Linked DNA regions of Drosophila melanogaster. The protein of the gene in region 1 interacts with the protein of each later gene in a pairwise test. Each region holds a gene or a part of one and is shown on either strand. Other genes may lie near its edges.

Region 1 (5,340 bases):
TGGCCCCCCCAAAGCCCAGACCTTAATATCATTGAAAACGTTTGGGCTTTTATTAAAAACCAACGAACTATTGATAAAAATAGAAAACGAGAGGGAGCCATCATTGAAATAGCGGAGATTTGGTCCAAATTGACATTAGAATTTGCACAAACTTTGGTAAGGTCAATACCAAAAAGACTTCAAGCAGTTATTGATGCCAAAGGTGGTGTTACAAAATATTAGTATTGTATTTATATAAAATAAAGAAATTCTTATGTTGAAATTAGATGTTAAGCTGAAATTTACTAAATTAAGTTGAGTGAAAATACTTTTGAAGCGCAATAAACATGTGAAAATACTATTGACAACTTGCATGCATATTTTCTTTTGCTTTAAGCTTTGTACTATGAACCGTTATCTTTCGTATTTCTTTTCGACTACCTTCTGCATAGATCAAGCTAAGCGATAAGAACTATTTCAGGCAAATCGGACAACAACAAGAAGAAATATAACAAAAAGAAGTTGAAGTTTGCAAATATTGTGCGTTGTGAAAATACTTTTGACCACCTCTGTATGTTTTCCCAGAGCCAACGAACTGAACTTGGTAAGTGTTTATTAAAGGACTTTGCCACAAAAGGACTAATCATTGGATAATCAAAAAATGATTGAACAAGTGTTAAAAATATTTTATAGGTAATCATTTTTCTCATGTTACTGAAAGTTGCAAGACTAGCGAACATATTTCAGTAATTTAAAGTGCCACACATCCATTGTTCAACATTTGTTTTTATTAGAGTTTTCCGAACTCAGCTGCCGGTGTAGTTTTACTTTTTCCTGTCCCTTCTGCCTCGTAAGTAAGGAAAACAAATAAATAAATTTCAGTTCTGGCCAGGGCACTCACTCTCACACACACACATAGCCACATGTGGAAATGTGTGTGTGAGGTTGCCTTTCATAAATTTGATATGTATGCGAATTCCTTTCGGTTGTGTGGTTGGGGTTTTGTTTTTTGTCAAGCGAAACCCATTTCCTGGGACTCACATGCTGCCACCAGGTTTCATCTACATTTGCAATTATTTTATGCTCCGCATTTGCCATTTCGTCTTTAATTAGATTTCCTGCCCAACCCCTAGCACAAATTTGCACTTGCCTTTGATGGGGCTTTCATTAGCCCGGCCTTGCGTGCCGTTTGTCTTGCTGGACGATAATTCCACTTTGGCGAACAAGGGCTGGCCAAAAAACACTTTAAGCCCTCTTCGGCTGGCTCACATGCATTTGCTATTGGGCTCTCGGTGTCATGCTGCGACATGCACTACTCGCCACGAAAACATGCAATTTGCAATGGCCATTTGCGCGACCATCAGTCAGTGGGACGCTAGAAACTTTAATTGCCCGCACACGTTTTAGCAAGCTAAGAAAGCTCGATGGAAAACACTGAGTAAAACTCGACAAAATCGCACTCGCCGCAAATGTGTTTTCGCGCCTTAGTTTTGGCCAAACTCTGACACACGAACGTGGACCTCAGACACCGAATGCCACTCGATATAATAGCCTTTCACCACGACGACGACCGCCAAGCACGTCCTTTCGCCAGCTCGTAACGAATTCAACTGAATCGCCACGGCCAGGAACAGCTCGATTTGTTTATGAATCGTCGTGTGCGCTTCGAGCCGAGTCCTCGGAACTTATTGTTCTGGGCGGCAGAGAGAGCTTTTTAGTCCTGTGAGTGGGGCTGCGAATATCGTAAAGTTAAGAGAAAGGGCATTTCTAGTGCTCTGCCCTTCACGCTCAGTTAAGAATTAAATTCTTGGTATGATACTTACTGCTTTACTTTCAAATTTTTGCTTTGCTTTAATTTGCTTTGTTTTAAAAAAGCATTTACTCTCACAATTTTTAGGGAAATCGTAGTTTTGAGTTCAGAGTTGATTATTAAAAATATAAATTCTTTATACAATTTAAGAAAGAAATTGCATATATTTATTCGTTTTCTGCTGTAATGAGTGAGAAAGTATTAGATGGAGAACAACATTTTCGTTTTCTTATTTTTACAATATAATTTAAAGCATTGCCGTAATTGTCAGGCGCAGTGACTTTCGAAGAACCATTTTGAATATCAAAATTTGGGAACACCAGCTCCCGGAATACAGGATTGTCCATTCCTATAGCTCCACATAGATGATCTAAATTGAACAGAGTACGCCTTTCCCCAAGTAGCAGGGGCCCTATCCGTATTCCTGGTCCCATTCTAGACACAAACAAAAACATTCACAGCAGTCGAACAGACAGCCCAAAGACACTCCCACACCAGCTGTGTGTATGCGGTTTAGTTGGCCAACCGCAAAATTCTTGGCAAACAAAATAAAGAAAACTAACTTGGGCCGAAGCAGAGCAGATCCAAGCGGCAACGGAAATTGTTAACCTTTGGGGATATCAAACATTTACGATTGCGTGGCAGCGGCAGCAACATTTAAGTTTTTATCAGCACAAAATAAAGTTTTGGTTTACGGATTGTGTTCCTGTCCGCCAACGCTCCTCCTACTATCCACCACTTTTTGGCCAGAGGCAGCTACAAGTGCCCAGGAGCCAAGACAGGAGCAAAATTCAGGAGCAGAAGCTGGATCAGGGGCTGAAGGTTCGTCCCTGTTGATTCTGGGGCACGCAAAACTTTTATCCTTTTCAATTTCGTTTTTCTTCGCCGAGTACTTTTGAGGGATTTAAATTTCTGTTTGCAGCCGAGCCAACAGCGAAACAACAACCGTGGGAGTGGCAGCATCGAGTTCGTGGCGACCAGGTGAGTGTTTCTTGTTGGCCTAATCACGGCTTTGCCGACTTGGCCACAATCAAGCACAATGCGATTGGCGCTGCTAATTTGACTTGAATGATACATAAAAAGGTGTACGAAAAAAAATTAGGAGGCTTATGTGAAAATGTGATGGTAGAAAATAAGTATATTTTTGATTAAATATTTTTAACAAATAGTATTTTTTAGTCTAAAAATAATTATTTTTCAGCCGTCATGAAGAAGAAGAGTCGTAGAGATCGGACACCAAAAGTAGAACAACCTGAACCATCGAGAGTTGTCAACACGGAGCCTATTCGACTGAACGTGGAACCCCAATCCCAAGAGATAGATGACCAGGCTGCACCATTTATTTTGGTAGACTGTGCGAAATATGAGGATCGTTCAGATTTGGAAGCAATGCTTAGTTCCATAGAAAAGGAACGGATGAAAAAGGTTCAGGCAGATATAGAGCAGCAATATTTTCCCCTCCTGGAGGATGAAGAACCACCTCCAGAATTAGATATGCCTATAAACCTAAGCTCTCAAGCATTGGCTGTACTGAATGATGCAGATAATGAGCGCCGCTTTAAAGAGGATCTGGAGAGCCTTAGTATTGCTGGACTGGAAGAGAAAGATACATCCATTAGCATTACCAACATGAAAATAGAAGACAGCAAACTATTGTTTCGGACTATGCCAGGTATGAATCAGATTTGCTGCACGCTAGAGCAGATGAAAAATGTTCATGGGAAAATTGGACCAGCAGAACCAACTCCACAGGCACGTTGCACCAGCTTGATTCCACTTTCAGGCCTTCGCCGGCAAGACACCTTCGAAATTAAACGTAAAAAGAACCAAAAGATTAGATATCCCGAGGTTTCCACCAAATCAGCAATTAGCGAAAGGAAACATCTACCATTAATTGCCAAGGGAGGAAAATGTGAGAAAGTTATCTCAGAGACTGATAAGATTTTCAGCCAGATTGGCGATCTTCTCGTGAAACTGCAGCTCCAACACGAGGGCAGCAAAGTCCTGAACAAGGGATCCTCTTATTCCTACATGGTGAACATTAAGCCAGCTGGAGGTGCATCCAATTGTTCAGTTTATGCGCTTACAAAACTCAAATCGCACGAAGTAGAGGAGACGCATGCCGAAAATCTAAGAACTTCTCACGCTCCATTGATCAACATTTTATACCCTGGTCGTGGTGGACTTATGGAGACTTCTGAGTTGTCCACGACCGCACGATGTATCGATGGAAGCTCCATTGGGTCGATGTCCCTTCGCGAAACGCCGTCCTCCAAGATCAAACCATCATTTTTACGCAAAAGGCCCAGTTCCCATCTAAGGGCACCTAACCCTGTCAAATTTTGCCACGGCAGGAAGAAAAATTAGGCCGCTTGGTAACCATTCCGCAAATTATTTGTTCGAAAGCCATTTATTTTCTATCGACATTGGAATCTCCAAATAATGCTTACAAATTCATATGTTGGTCATTCAAAAGGATCTTGAATGGATATTTTATGCAAAAATATATCAGTTGCCAGAGTCTAATGAACGGTAATAATTCAACAAATGCATACAATGCGGCCATAATATAAAATATTAAGTGATACAAAACAAATATATATTTTTATAAGCCATTAATTAAAAAATAACCTACATTTTGGTTATTAATGGTCTCTTGGATTTATTTCCACTAGGGTCAATTAATAAAATTGCAAGTCTGAAACCCAGTTTAAAAGATCAATATGCTGTTTTCGATTGAATTGAATTGTACAGCGCAAACAATATTTGTTTTTTCTTTATTCATCGCAAATAAACAAGTGGTTTCAAGTGGTTTATTTATTTGCCATTTTAAATTCATCACAAAATGCACAATAATTATATAGATGTTATCGGCATTCACATTTTCAATTACCCTCGTATTTTAATTTATTGTGTTGTAATTAAAGCGATTTAATCATATTCAATCGCCAGAGTCCTCCAATCAAAACTCGTGCACCTTTCTGGAGTGCTTCCCTGCATAAAAGTTGCATCTTGTCCACTTCCTGGAGGAGTTGTCTAATTGCATGGCCACGCACTTTCATTGCTCATTTCCGAGTTGCCCTCAAGTGCGTGGTTGCAGCTCATTTTGTTCGGTTTGCACAATTGTGGCCAAAGTGTTTTCAACTTTCTTCTGTCAATGCGCCCGGAGGTCGAATCCGAAGTCCGTGCCTCACCCGAAAATCCCCTCTTTCGGTTTGGGTTTGGTGAAATGTCGGCCAAGTGCTGGGCTTGGCTTGTGCCAGTTGGCAGACGTCCTGCTGCAGGACCTTAAAAACCTGCCTGCCTCCTGTCATTTGTCGTTGGCCAGAAATTGCAAGATTGACTACTGGGCTGCAGAGGGTGAACAAGTGGGTGGGCACAAAAGTTTTCATTAGTTTTAATTAAATCCCAAACAGCATTTCCATGCTGCACTCTTTCGCTCGCTCGTTCTCTGAGGCGTGTGCTCTTTCGAGCCTTTGTCAATGAGTTTTCCCAACAAAACCGAATTAAAAACACATCAAAATTAATGACACTCCGCCCCGGGATGGCCA
Region 2 (6,667 bases), on another chromosome or scaffold:
GCCCACCACCACACGCGCAGACACACAGACACAGCTCGCTCTCGCTTTTTGTCTTCCGTCGGGTTATCTCGCTGCTGGCGACTCTGGGCGCCTGTTCCGTTATATCGCGTAGAGGGACCTGCCTCAATGTTGCGCGTCAATTTTAGGGAGCCTACACCATAAAAATCGGTGACGGTTGGCCACTTTTTTTGTGGCCCGGCACGTCCCACTTTTTTTTCATCTTGGCCTTCTCGACAGGCCGTTGAGTGGAGTTGGGCGCTCCAAAAGCGCCTGCGCGGAGTGCGCGACGCCTCGCTTTGCAGCTTTGTCGCTCGGCCGCCATTTGCGATTCCCGCTGCTGGTGTCGCCAAATATGAAGCAAGCAGAATGCGGCGCAAGCAGTACGGATATGTTTGTGGATGCTGCTTAGGTGTCTGCAACTTGCCCTTGACAGTTGACTTTAACCCGCTGAGTGCTGTGCGAAGGCAATCCCAATCTTACCTTGTGAATGCAATTAGCAAGGTTCTAAGTTCTAAGTTAAAATGTTTGTAAATTACTTTTTAAGAAATGTGAACAAGTACTACAATGTGTATTTTTGGTGACACATTAACTTTTATTGCATTAAGCATTATCAGGAATAGTGCTTAGAAGTGCCTAAAAGTATGCCCACTTTGTTCTTAGTTGGGAACTGAACTAAGTAAACGTTTTCATTTTCAGTTTCCGATTATATCGAAACTGTAGTAATTTATTAGCCTAAAACGAAGACCTAGTGTTAGGCTTTCTAATATCCCAACTTATAAATATTATTTACATACATATGTACATATGTACATTGTATTTTCATATGTTCAGTGGAGAGATCGAGAGATGCGCTTCTCAAATTCCATTTTTTCCGTTATACCCCGTCTTTCACTGTCCGCCTCCACTATCTCTATCTCTCCGCATTTTCTCTTCTCTGTCCGCCGCACACACTCTCGTTGGCGTCTGTCTGCTGTCATCAGTTGCTGATTACTTGTTCACCAAACCGCAGTTTAGCGCTGGCAATGCCGGCGGCAGCAGACGTAACGACGACGACGGTCGCGTCTGATAGACAGCTGTCTCCAATTGGAATGTTGTCTCCGGTTACGTCAGTCAAAATGACGCATCGTGTTTTGGTAACAGGAAAGCATAAAAGCGAGAAGAGCACCAATGTGCGGCACTCTGCTGCACAATGGCCGCGAAACAAAAGAACAAGGCACGAAGAAAATGTGTAAACCGTTGTGGGGGACGAAGAAAAAGCAGGCACAGACGCTGCGCCGCGTCACGACAACAAAAAAATCCACCCTCGCACAAAGCGCTAATATTTTGTTGGTTTTTCGTTTCGCTTTCAATTAGGCAGAGTGCAGTGTCTGGGCCAAATCTCAAAGGTAAGAGGAAGTGCACAACTTTCAGTGAAGCCAATCTAGGCAAACAAAAAGCCAAACTGTCCGTTTCGATATTTCACTAGAGCGGTATTATGGTTAAAACTATGTTAAAATAGTTCTATACTTAAATCGTAAATCAGTAAAATTTAGATTAGTCAATTTTCGTATAGTAACAATATCAATAATTTTATTGTTTTTAACATTTGGAATATCTTATAAATATGTATATGTATTATCATGTCTATGAATATATTCAGTTCTAACCAGTAAAATATTTGATTACTCCTTACACGTAGACGTAAAGTAATTTAGTATTTTGTTTTAAGTTTCTGTGCCTTTTGTCGGAAGTTCTAGCTAGTTAATTCGCGCATCACTGCCAGCGACGCTAACGCCAACGCGAACGGTTCTTGCCGCCGCTTTCACACAGACGAAAAAGCGCAGTGTGCGTTGGCCAACGCTGTGCGCCTGCTGTTCTGCGGACAAAATTTGAGCAGATCCGCTCACAAAAAAACGTACTTAACTGCGAAATAGTGCTGGTCGTGTAGGTTCCACGTTCCAACCGACTGCAGTGCTTTGGCTCCATGGCACCACGGCTAAATGGCCAAATGGCTCCACTGCTCCGGTGGCTCCAACTGCGGTGGTGCCCATTCCAGTTGGAAATTGCATGCGAGCACATGGGAAAAGTCCCCAACTGGTATTTCGAGCAGGCGCACAGCTTTCCCAACTGCTCACTCTCCCAAAGAGTTCCGTCTCTGTCTCGTTCGCACCGATAAGGAGCCTTTCGAGATAAGCAGCTGGAAAGGGACGGACTGATGGTAGCGGCAAAGCGCAGTGTGCAACGACAGAAAGGGATGCCCAATGATGGTCTAATCGGAGGGGGAATCGCTGATCGCTGATAGTACTGGAATCTGGTTGATATAACCCCAATATTATGTTAAAGAGTGAACTACATTTTTAACTGAGATTTTAGTGAGTTTCCGGCCTTTAAGGGGTGTATTTTTACGATAATAAAAGTTTGTTAGATCGCATATTGTTTTAAATATTTCATATATGTTATTTTATTTTAACGAATTTATACAATTGACTTCAAAAATATCTGTGCACCATTCCATAAAATGTAAACCGAATTAATATGTTGAAAATTACTCTCGTATTAACTCTTTTTTGGGAATTGATAATTCATTTGCGATACGATATGAGTTCTATATAAGGCTTAAGCTTTGGGGCCAATACTTCAGTCGTGCGGCAAACGCAAAGCTGAAAAGTATTCTAGTTCTATAGATCTCACGGTAAGAGAAAGTATAAAGTCTAAATAAGAGAACATAAAAATGAAATCGGATTGCGAGCTTTTATTGCATAGCCAATGGAAAAAAGTTTTAGTTAAATTTTCACGTCGGGTGCGTTTGGAGGCAGAGTGTAGCATAGTGTAAAGAACAAATTAATAATAATATAATAAAGTAGTTCTCTTGTGACATTTGGTGTCGTAAACAGTTTGGTTAAGAGAGTTTTTAAGAGTGACGGTTTGTTCTTTGGTGACATTGAGTGTAATTAATATCAAAATATTACTGTGGGTTTTTCCATTCCCTCCCACAAACAAACAAACAATGCTAAAAAACCATCAAATTGTCAAAAGTGTTGAGTGGAATGAGTCGTGGAAAAATGATTAGATGCGAACATATCTGAAAGTTTTTGCTCGCGGAATTTCGCCATAAAAATCTCGTGCGTCTGTGCGGAGATAGCGACCGTATAACCGCGAAATTTAAGTACTTTAAAAAACATGGGAGATAGATGTATTTTAGCTACTCGAAATTATTGACCGCAGTATATAATCGTATTTCCACTGAAATAATTGTCTCTGTTTTTTAGCCAAAATAATTGGCTCTTAGTCTTTGATAAATTCATCTATGTTTCGTAATTTTTTCATTACGCTCCACATGTTAAGTAAAATTAAACTTAATTTTAGAATGTTTATTTTTGCCAAATGTTATTGTTATTAACCCAGAAATAATCTTGCACCGTTCCTGATTATTGAATCCACTTCGATAAAACTCCAATATTATACCTTAGTTCTCGAACCAGCAAACCAGTTGTGCGTCTTATACATACGCCGTAGGAGAGACTGAGACTCACATCAGCTGCTCGGCGGCTTGAACGCCTACAGACATACATACATACGTACATACATATATAGGGAGAGATTTAGAGCGCGGATTATAATGCTAAACAGGTTCATTGGTTTATCGGCTGCGATCGTGGGTCGGAGCAGTCGGATCAGCGGCTTTCCGTTCTCGCCGCTCCTTAAAGCTGGGTGCGTATGCCGCTTGAGAGTTCAGTCGCTCGCGAAACACGACTTCGATCGCAATACTTCGAGATGAGATCGATTGCCACCAACTCCCTGCTGCCACTGATTGTGGCCTTGCTGATCGCCGGTAGTAATGCCTCCCTCCCACGCAGGGGCAGCAGAAATCAAAGCCAGAATCGCACCATGTCCGCTGGCAAGGCTTTCAAGGTCCTGGTGACACATCCCGAGGTTCCCCAGGAGGGCATTGATCTGCTGAAGGAGAACTGCGAGATCGTCCAGGTGCAGAGTGTTCCCATCAACCGGGCGGAGCTGCTGGAGAAAATCCGTGGCGTGGATGGCGTTCTCTGGGGTGGACACGAACCCCTCAATGCCGAGGCCCTCGATGCTGCCGGTCCCCAGCTGAAATCCATCTCCACCATGTCGGCGGGAATCGACTACGTCGATGTGCCGGAGGTAAAGAGACGTAAGATCCCGCTGGGACACACGCCCACCGTTCTCAACACCGCCGTGGCCGATTTGGCAGTGGGTCTCCTGATCGCCGCCAGTCGCCGTTTTCACGAGGGTCGCAAGACCATCGACAAGTGAGTACCACTAGTTGGTTAGTTGTGTTTGTGATGATTCATATACTTACAGAATTAATTTGAGCAATGACAAAAATAGAGTAAACCGAAATTATAATTGTCATAATTATTATTATAATTAAGCTAAACTAGGGACACTTTATTTTCAACTTAGTGTGGCCGTGAAATGTATACGCATGAATTCTCGATTAAAATTGCAAGCCGGTTCTTAAGAATACCGCCTGTCCGCTCGTCTGTCGCTTGCACTTTTGCTCTATAGCGCTCACAAGTGGACAAAGCATTATCATCAATAGGTTTTGGCTCCTCACATGCATAATGTAAAATTCTAAAGTATTGACTTTCGATTTATCTACAAACAAAAGGTACGAGCAGTTTATGTAACCGCCGCTAGGTGGCGGTGCAATAAAAAAAAGTTTTTTTTATCTTCATCTTAGCTTAGTAACAGGCATTTATCAGTATCTCGAGTATCTACAAGTATATTATATATTTTGGAAATATTCATATATCTTTCAATTTCTTAATTTGTATCTTTTGCGTTCTAAAAGTGACAAGTGGGAAAACTACCATCTTAACTGGCTGTTGGGCCAGGATATTCGTGATTCCACCGTGGGATTCTACGGCTTTGGAGGCATTGGTCAGGCTATTGCCAAGCGTTTGTCTGGATTCGACATTGACAAGGTGCTGTACACCACCCGTCGTCGTGTTCACAAGGAGATCGAGGAGGAGTTCAATGCCAAGAAAGTTGACTTCGATACCCTTCTGGCCGAGAGTGACTTCGTAGTGATCGCTTCTCCTTTGACGAAGGACACACAGGGCGTCTTTAATGCCACCGCCTTCAACAAGATGAAGCAGACTGCTGTGCTGGTTAACATTGCCAGGGGCAGTAAGTTACCAGTATTAATTGGGATTCTCGACCGATTTTAACTATTTATTTTATTCCTCAGAAATCGTCAACCAGGATGACCTCTACGAGGCTTTGAAAGCCAACCGAATCTTTTCCGCCGGACTCGACGTCACGGATCCGGAACCATTGTCGCCCAAGGACAAGCTGCTGACGCTTGACAATGTTGGTGAGTGGGAAAATGAAAATAATGTTGTAGTTTATTGATATCAGTCCTCAGGCCCACACCTAGCAAATACTCGTATTTCTGGCCCCTTATCAATATAAAGATTTTGACTTATCTCTTCAGTGGTTGACAATGACTAAAAGTATTTTGAAATTAATGGAATCTTTAAGGTTTCTTGAAGGTTACAAATAAATAGGGTAACGTTTATTCTTTCCATGTTTTATCTAATTTCTGCGTCCTTGTTGACCTCTATAATTCCCTTCTTTTGTTGATTTATTAAAACATTGTTATCTTGGTTTGTGTAATCGTATCTTGAACTAACCACTTGATGTGTTCTTTTAGTTGTCCTGCCCCATATTGGATCCGCCACGAAGCGCACCCGTGCCGACATGTCCACCATTGCTGCCCATAATGTGCTCCGCGGTTTGGCTGGGGAGCCCATGTTGTCGCCCGCCTACTAGTAAATTCAAATGGGAAATATGGCTTTCTACCGCTAACCAGTTTGGAATGTCCGCCAAACAAAGTGCGAAAGGCCGCCGATGACCTTGGCATGCCAGTAGATGTGAAAATAAAAAAAACAATTAAAAAACAAGTATTTGCTGTTGCAAATTTATTAAATTAAATATGTGGGAATCTAATCTATACCGTAAGATTAGCTCAACTGATTAATATGGAATAGGTAAAGCAATAGAATAATTGGTGCTAGAGAATGAGAAACATAATTTAAATACTAATATAGTATATCGTAGGAAATAATATTGTACGTTTTAAGAAATGAGAGCAGAAAACATTGATTTAGTAATTCGCAAAGTTTAGCTCTGCACAATTGCAAAACCTACCACTTTTCCCCAAAATGTATCGAGGACCTTCAAACTGCTGATTTCGCATCCAAAAGTCCCAGGAACGGCTGCGGGAGCTTGTCGGATCAGGATCGGAATAGGATCATCGCTTCTTAAAACTGGGTGCTTATGCCGCTTGAGAGTTCGCTCGCGAAACCCGACTTCGGTTGTAGTTTTTCAACCTGCTCCCACTGATTATGGCTTTGCTGATCGAATATAATAATTGAAGGCCCCTGGGCATGGCCCGTTGGTTTCAAGGTGCTGGGGGCGAATCCCAGGGATTACTATGTGGGCATTTATCTGCAGAAAGAGAACTGCAACTGCAACTGCTGCAACCAGCAAGAAAGCAGACCGGCGACTGAGCAGGACAGTAGCCCCATAAGGCAGTGGCTCTAAATGAATACTGCCCCCAGCTGACTACGCCGATGTGCCGGAAGTCAAGAGGTGCAAAGTCCCCTGTCAACAACGACGTGGTCGATTTGGCAGTGGGTTCGAG
Region 3 (3,978 bases), about 11 Mb from region 1:
CCATAGTTTTCCGCCGAGATGGGCTTGCTGGTCTTCCAGCAGCCCACTCCGTTGCGCTGGATCTCATCGAAGAAGATCACCCCAGTCCCAGGATCGTAAGCGTGCATCGTAGACTGGGTGGACGGACCACGGCTTCCGAGTACCCGGAAATCGTTCCCATGATCGGAACGTGCGGCGTTGGATTCCTGCTGCAGAACCCGGTTGGAGACCACAAACTCATTCGTACTGGCCATGGGATGGAAGTAGGCATCGCGGCTCCCATCCAGTTTCTGGGCCCCCAAAGTTATTGAGAAGATGCCATCGTCCCAGCGGAAGGTCTGGCCGCCAATGCTGAGATCCCCGGACAGCGGATCGAAGTTGAAGTAGTTGTGCTCGAAGGACCAGATTCTATCGTTTCGCAGGTGATAGACGTACAGGCGCCGGTACACCAGATCCGGAATATAGGCGTAGGCATCGCCACACTGACCCGCCTTCACATCCACGGTGATGCTGGCCAATCCGCGACCCGTCTCAGCTATACTCTCCGGAACATCGAAGCGCTTCAGCACCTGATCCGTGGCCAAGTCAACTACCCAAATGCTGGGACGGCGGATCTGTTGGCGGTTATCTGGATATGAGAATCATGATTGAGTTTTTTATATTCTTGGTCACCAAATTAGATTAATACGGATCGATCCTGATCTTTTATATTACATGTCAATACATGCCAACTCACTTGGATACTCCAGCATTCCCGTGTCGATAAACCAGAGACGCTGGCATGCATCCACGGAGGTTCTGTAGACGGACACCAGATTCTCCGCACTCGCGTTGAACTGATTAAGCGCAAAGTTGGGATAGGCCCGCAGCTTGGGGCTGCGATTCGATCCGTCCTCGGCCAGATCGATGTAATTCAAGGTGGATGGGATGCCCACCCGTCGACGAGGCATCGTGACAAAGAGGCGGCCGCGGAAGTGAGTGGCTCCCATGGGCACGTTATTGTACGGAATGTAGGAGGCGTTGGGGTCGTCGCTGTCGGCGCGGGAGCTGACCACTACCGGTGTATCGCGGGAGGTCATAATCTTACGCTTTCGACGAGAATACTTTCCAGGAAAGACAACCGGAGCTAGTTGAACAATAAAAAAATAGTACATAAGTAAATACCAATAAATCTATCTAACAAGGCTCGCGAGATTGCTATTGCTGAATGAGAACTAGTAATATCATATTATGAGTACTAACCTGAAAAGCTGGGCCTGTCTTTCCTTCCGCCCGAGCTTAGATGGCCATCTCCGCGATTGTAAAAGTCCATCTGCTTCCATCGGAAGACCTCTATCATGGGATCAGCATCTGCCAAGGAAAGCAGCTGTAACCCTGAGATTAAACTTAGAATCAAAAATTGGGGCGATAACATTGCTCGGTTTTCCTGGGGAACTATAATCTAAGTTCGCCTTGCCAAGTTGAGGCCTCAATAGCGACTGAAAGCCAATTTGTTCCCAATTGGAATCTATTCTCACAGCGGTTCGAACGCAAATTATTAAAATTGATAAGAAAAGCGCGACTCTCACAAGTTCTCAAACCGGTTTTGTGACTTGTTAGCCTGATAATAATCGTTAGTAAAAATCTAATTATTTACATACAAATGGAATTATAAACAGCTTTCAGCTTTTCTTTCTTTTTATGTTGTATACATATATAAATCAATCACAAAAACATGAGAAGAACATTTAGTTGTAAGAAACGTTACGCTATTCGTTTATGAAAGCATTGCTGTTCTAGCAATATATTCTCTAGCAATTAATAATAATTAACCCAAAAATATAAATTTAATGCATAATTTCTAAACTTAGAAAACTAAAGCAACAAATTTCGCGCCAAAAGACTTAACGGCGATTTATTAAATTAATCAAATCACTACCAACAATCGATAAGAGGTATCGATATACAAAGCTGTTGTGTAAATCGTAATTTATTTAGCGTAAACAGTGTAAATAGCAATATGCGCTATAATCTGTTAGCCAGTTCGTTAAAATTGCTGAATAGCACGAAAACCCACAATTTGTTCTTGGTGAACGTGCGCAGCTTGACCGGCGCCGCCCACACCAACGATGCAGTGGCTCCGACCACGCGCCCACCGCCCGCAGAATCGAGGAATCCCGGAGAGGAGCAACGATCACTGCACATCGCGGTAATTGGAGTGCCCAATGTGGGAAAGAGCACGTTCATCAACAACACGGTGAACCACCGAGTGTGTCCCACCTCGGCCAAGGTGCACACCACTCGGCAGTCGAACACGGCCATTTACACCACCGGCCAGACGCAGTTGGTCTTTTACGATACGCCGGGCCTGGTCACGCAACATGAGATTCGTCGGCACCACCTGGACCAGAACTTTAAGAGTGCCTACCGCCATGCCATACAGCATGCGGACATCATCGCCGTGGTGCACGATGCCTCAAATGCCTGGACTAGGAAGGAACTGCATCCCACTGTCTTGGATACGCTGAAGGCGTATAGCAACCTGCCCAGTTTCCTGGTGCTGAATAAGATAGACGCCCTGAAGTCGAAGCGTTTGCTGTTGGATCTGATCAAGACACTCACCAACGACACCTTGACAGTTGGCAAGCGGGAAGTCCAGGCAAAAAGTGCTCTCGCCAAGGAAATAAGAATCAACAAGCGGGAGTCTAGCTGGAGCCATTTTAGCGACGTGTTTCTTGTTTCCGCCTTGACCGGCAATGGGCTGCAGGAGATGCAGAACTACCTGGTGGGCCAGGCTAAGCCCAGGGATTGGAAATACCCAGCTGACATTCATACGGACTCCAGCCCAGAAGCATTAATTGTGGAGAGTGTGCGGGCTCGTCTGCTGGACTACTTGCCGCAGGAGATACCCTACAACCTTAAGTGCGAGATCGAGTACTACAGTGTGGAAAAAAGTGAGTACTTCTGTACACTCGTAAAGAAATCCTTTTCAATTCCGATTTTCTTTGCAGATGTTGTCTACACATCCGTGCAGGTTCAGTGCCCCACCACGCGAATCGAGCGCCTAATCTGTGGCGAGGGTAATGGCAAGCTGCGGCAGATCACGGAGCGAGTTACATCAGACCTGGTGGAGATGTTCGGCCAAGCAGTGTCCCTTACTATATCTACAGTTTCCAAGGGCAAGAAGACCGCCGCTTGAGCACTTGTTGATTACTTGTACTTTATTTGTAACGTTGCATAAACCTAAGAGTTCACAAAAGCTTCAAATGCGCCACCAATTTGTCTAGATCTTCGGCAGGGGCTGGACCCAGTCCGAGGACCGTTGCTGTCCCAGATTCCAGCTGAGTGCGCCCGGCATCCCTCACCAAGGCGGCCACCACGTTCGACTCTTGGGCCTGTCGCTCCAGGGAGTTTAGCTGCTCGAAGTTGTCCACGCGCAGCACTATCTTCGGCTGTCCCAGGCGACACCAACGCTGCAGAATGGCGTTCTGCAGCTTGGTTCCCTGCACAGAGCTCTGGTAGCACATGACCGCCGCATGGGCGCACTGGGCCGCTGTCTTTCCCTTGGACATCTTTAGGTCGGTTCGGACCACCAGCGCCAGTTTGGTGGACTTGCCGAAGGCCAAACCGTTGCTGAGGAACTTCTGCAGGATGCTACTTGACGTGGGCATACTTCTGGCTCTGCTGCTCCACGTACTTCTGCATGCACGCCCGGAACTCTTTCACCTTCTCCTGGCAAGCCCTCCAGTCGCCCGTCTCGGCGATACACTCCTGCACCTTGTAGTGAAGCTCTATGCAGCCGGTCTTCTTCAGCATTAGTTCCACGGGATCCTGGTCCGTCGATGCGGACATTTTCTTCTCCACTTCGCCGGCTGAATTCGTTCGTTTCGAAATTACGAAATTCGGTCAGGGTTGTCAACACATCGAAGGGACACGGATATATTCTGTACGACATTTGGCCCACTATCGAATTGAAAGAATTTACTGTAAAATATATTTTCTTGCATTATAAATGTGTTT

The links.
Region 2: the proteins of CG10164 (region 1) and CG9331 interact in a two-hybrid assay, tested with the Drosophila melanogaster proteins (one large-scale study listed by BioGRID).
Region 3: the proteins of CG10164 (region 1) and CG7488 interact in a two-hybrid assay, tested with the Drosophila melanogaster proteins (one large-scale study listed by BioGRID).

The regions. Positions count from the first base shown.
Region 1 is NT_033777.3:23,553,663-23,559,002, reverse strand, and holds CG10164 (uncharacterized protein), read left to right. Parts: upstream 1-2,059; 5' UTR 2,060-2,770; intron 2,771-2,990; 5' UTR 2,991-2,995; coding exon 2,996-4,156; 3' UTR 4,157-4,680; downstream 4,681-5,340.
Region 2 is NT_033779.5:20,821,823-20,828,489, forward strand, and holds CG9331 (uncharacterized protein), read left to right. Parts: upstream 1-1,819; 5' UTR 1,820-2,293; intron 2,294-2,611; exon of another isoform or gene 2,612-2,902; intron 2,903-3,449; 5' UTR 3,450-3,598; coding exon 3,599-3,690; exon of another isoform or gene 3,691-3,753; coding exon of another isoform or gene 3,754-3,845; coding exon 3,846-4,265; intron 4,266-4,810; coding exon 4,811-5,148; intron 5,149-5,209; coding exon 5,210-5,335; intron 5,336-5,674; coding exon 5,675-5,793; 3' UTR 5,794-5,902; downstream 5,903-6,667.
Region 3 is NT_033777.3:12,993,713-12,997,690, forward strand, and holds CG7488 (uncharacterized protein), read left to right. Parts: upstream 1-1,907; 5' UTR 1,908-1,978; coding exon 1,979-2,912; intron 2,913-2,969; coding exon 2,970-3,157; 3' UTR 3,158-3,209; downstream 3,210-3,978. Other genes in the region: yellow-f2, read right to left, coding at 1-607, 716-1,105, 1,222-1,393; CG17327 (uncharacterized protein), read right to left, coding at 3,210-3,629; CG44194 (uncharacterized protein), read right to left, coding at 3,613-3,810.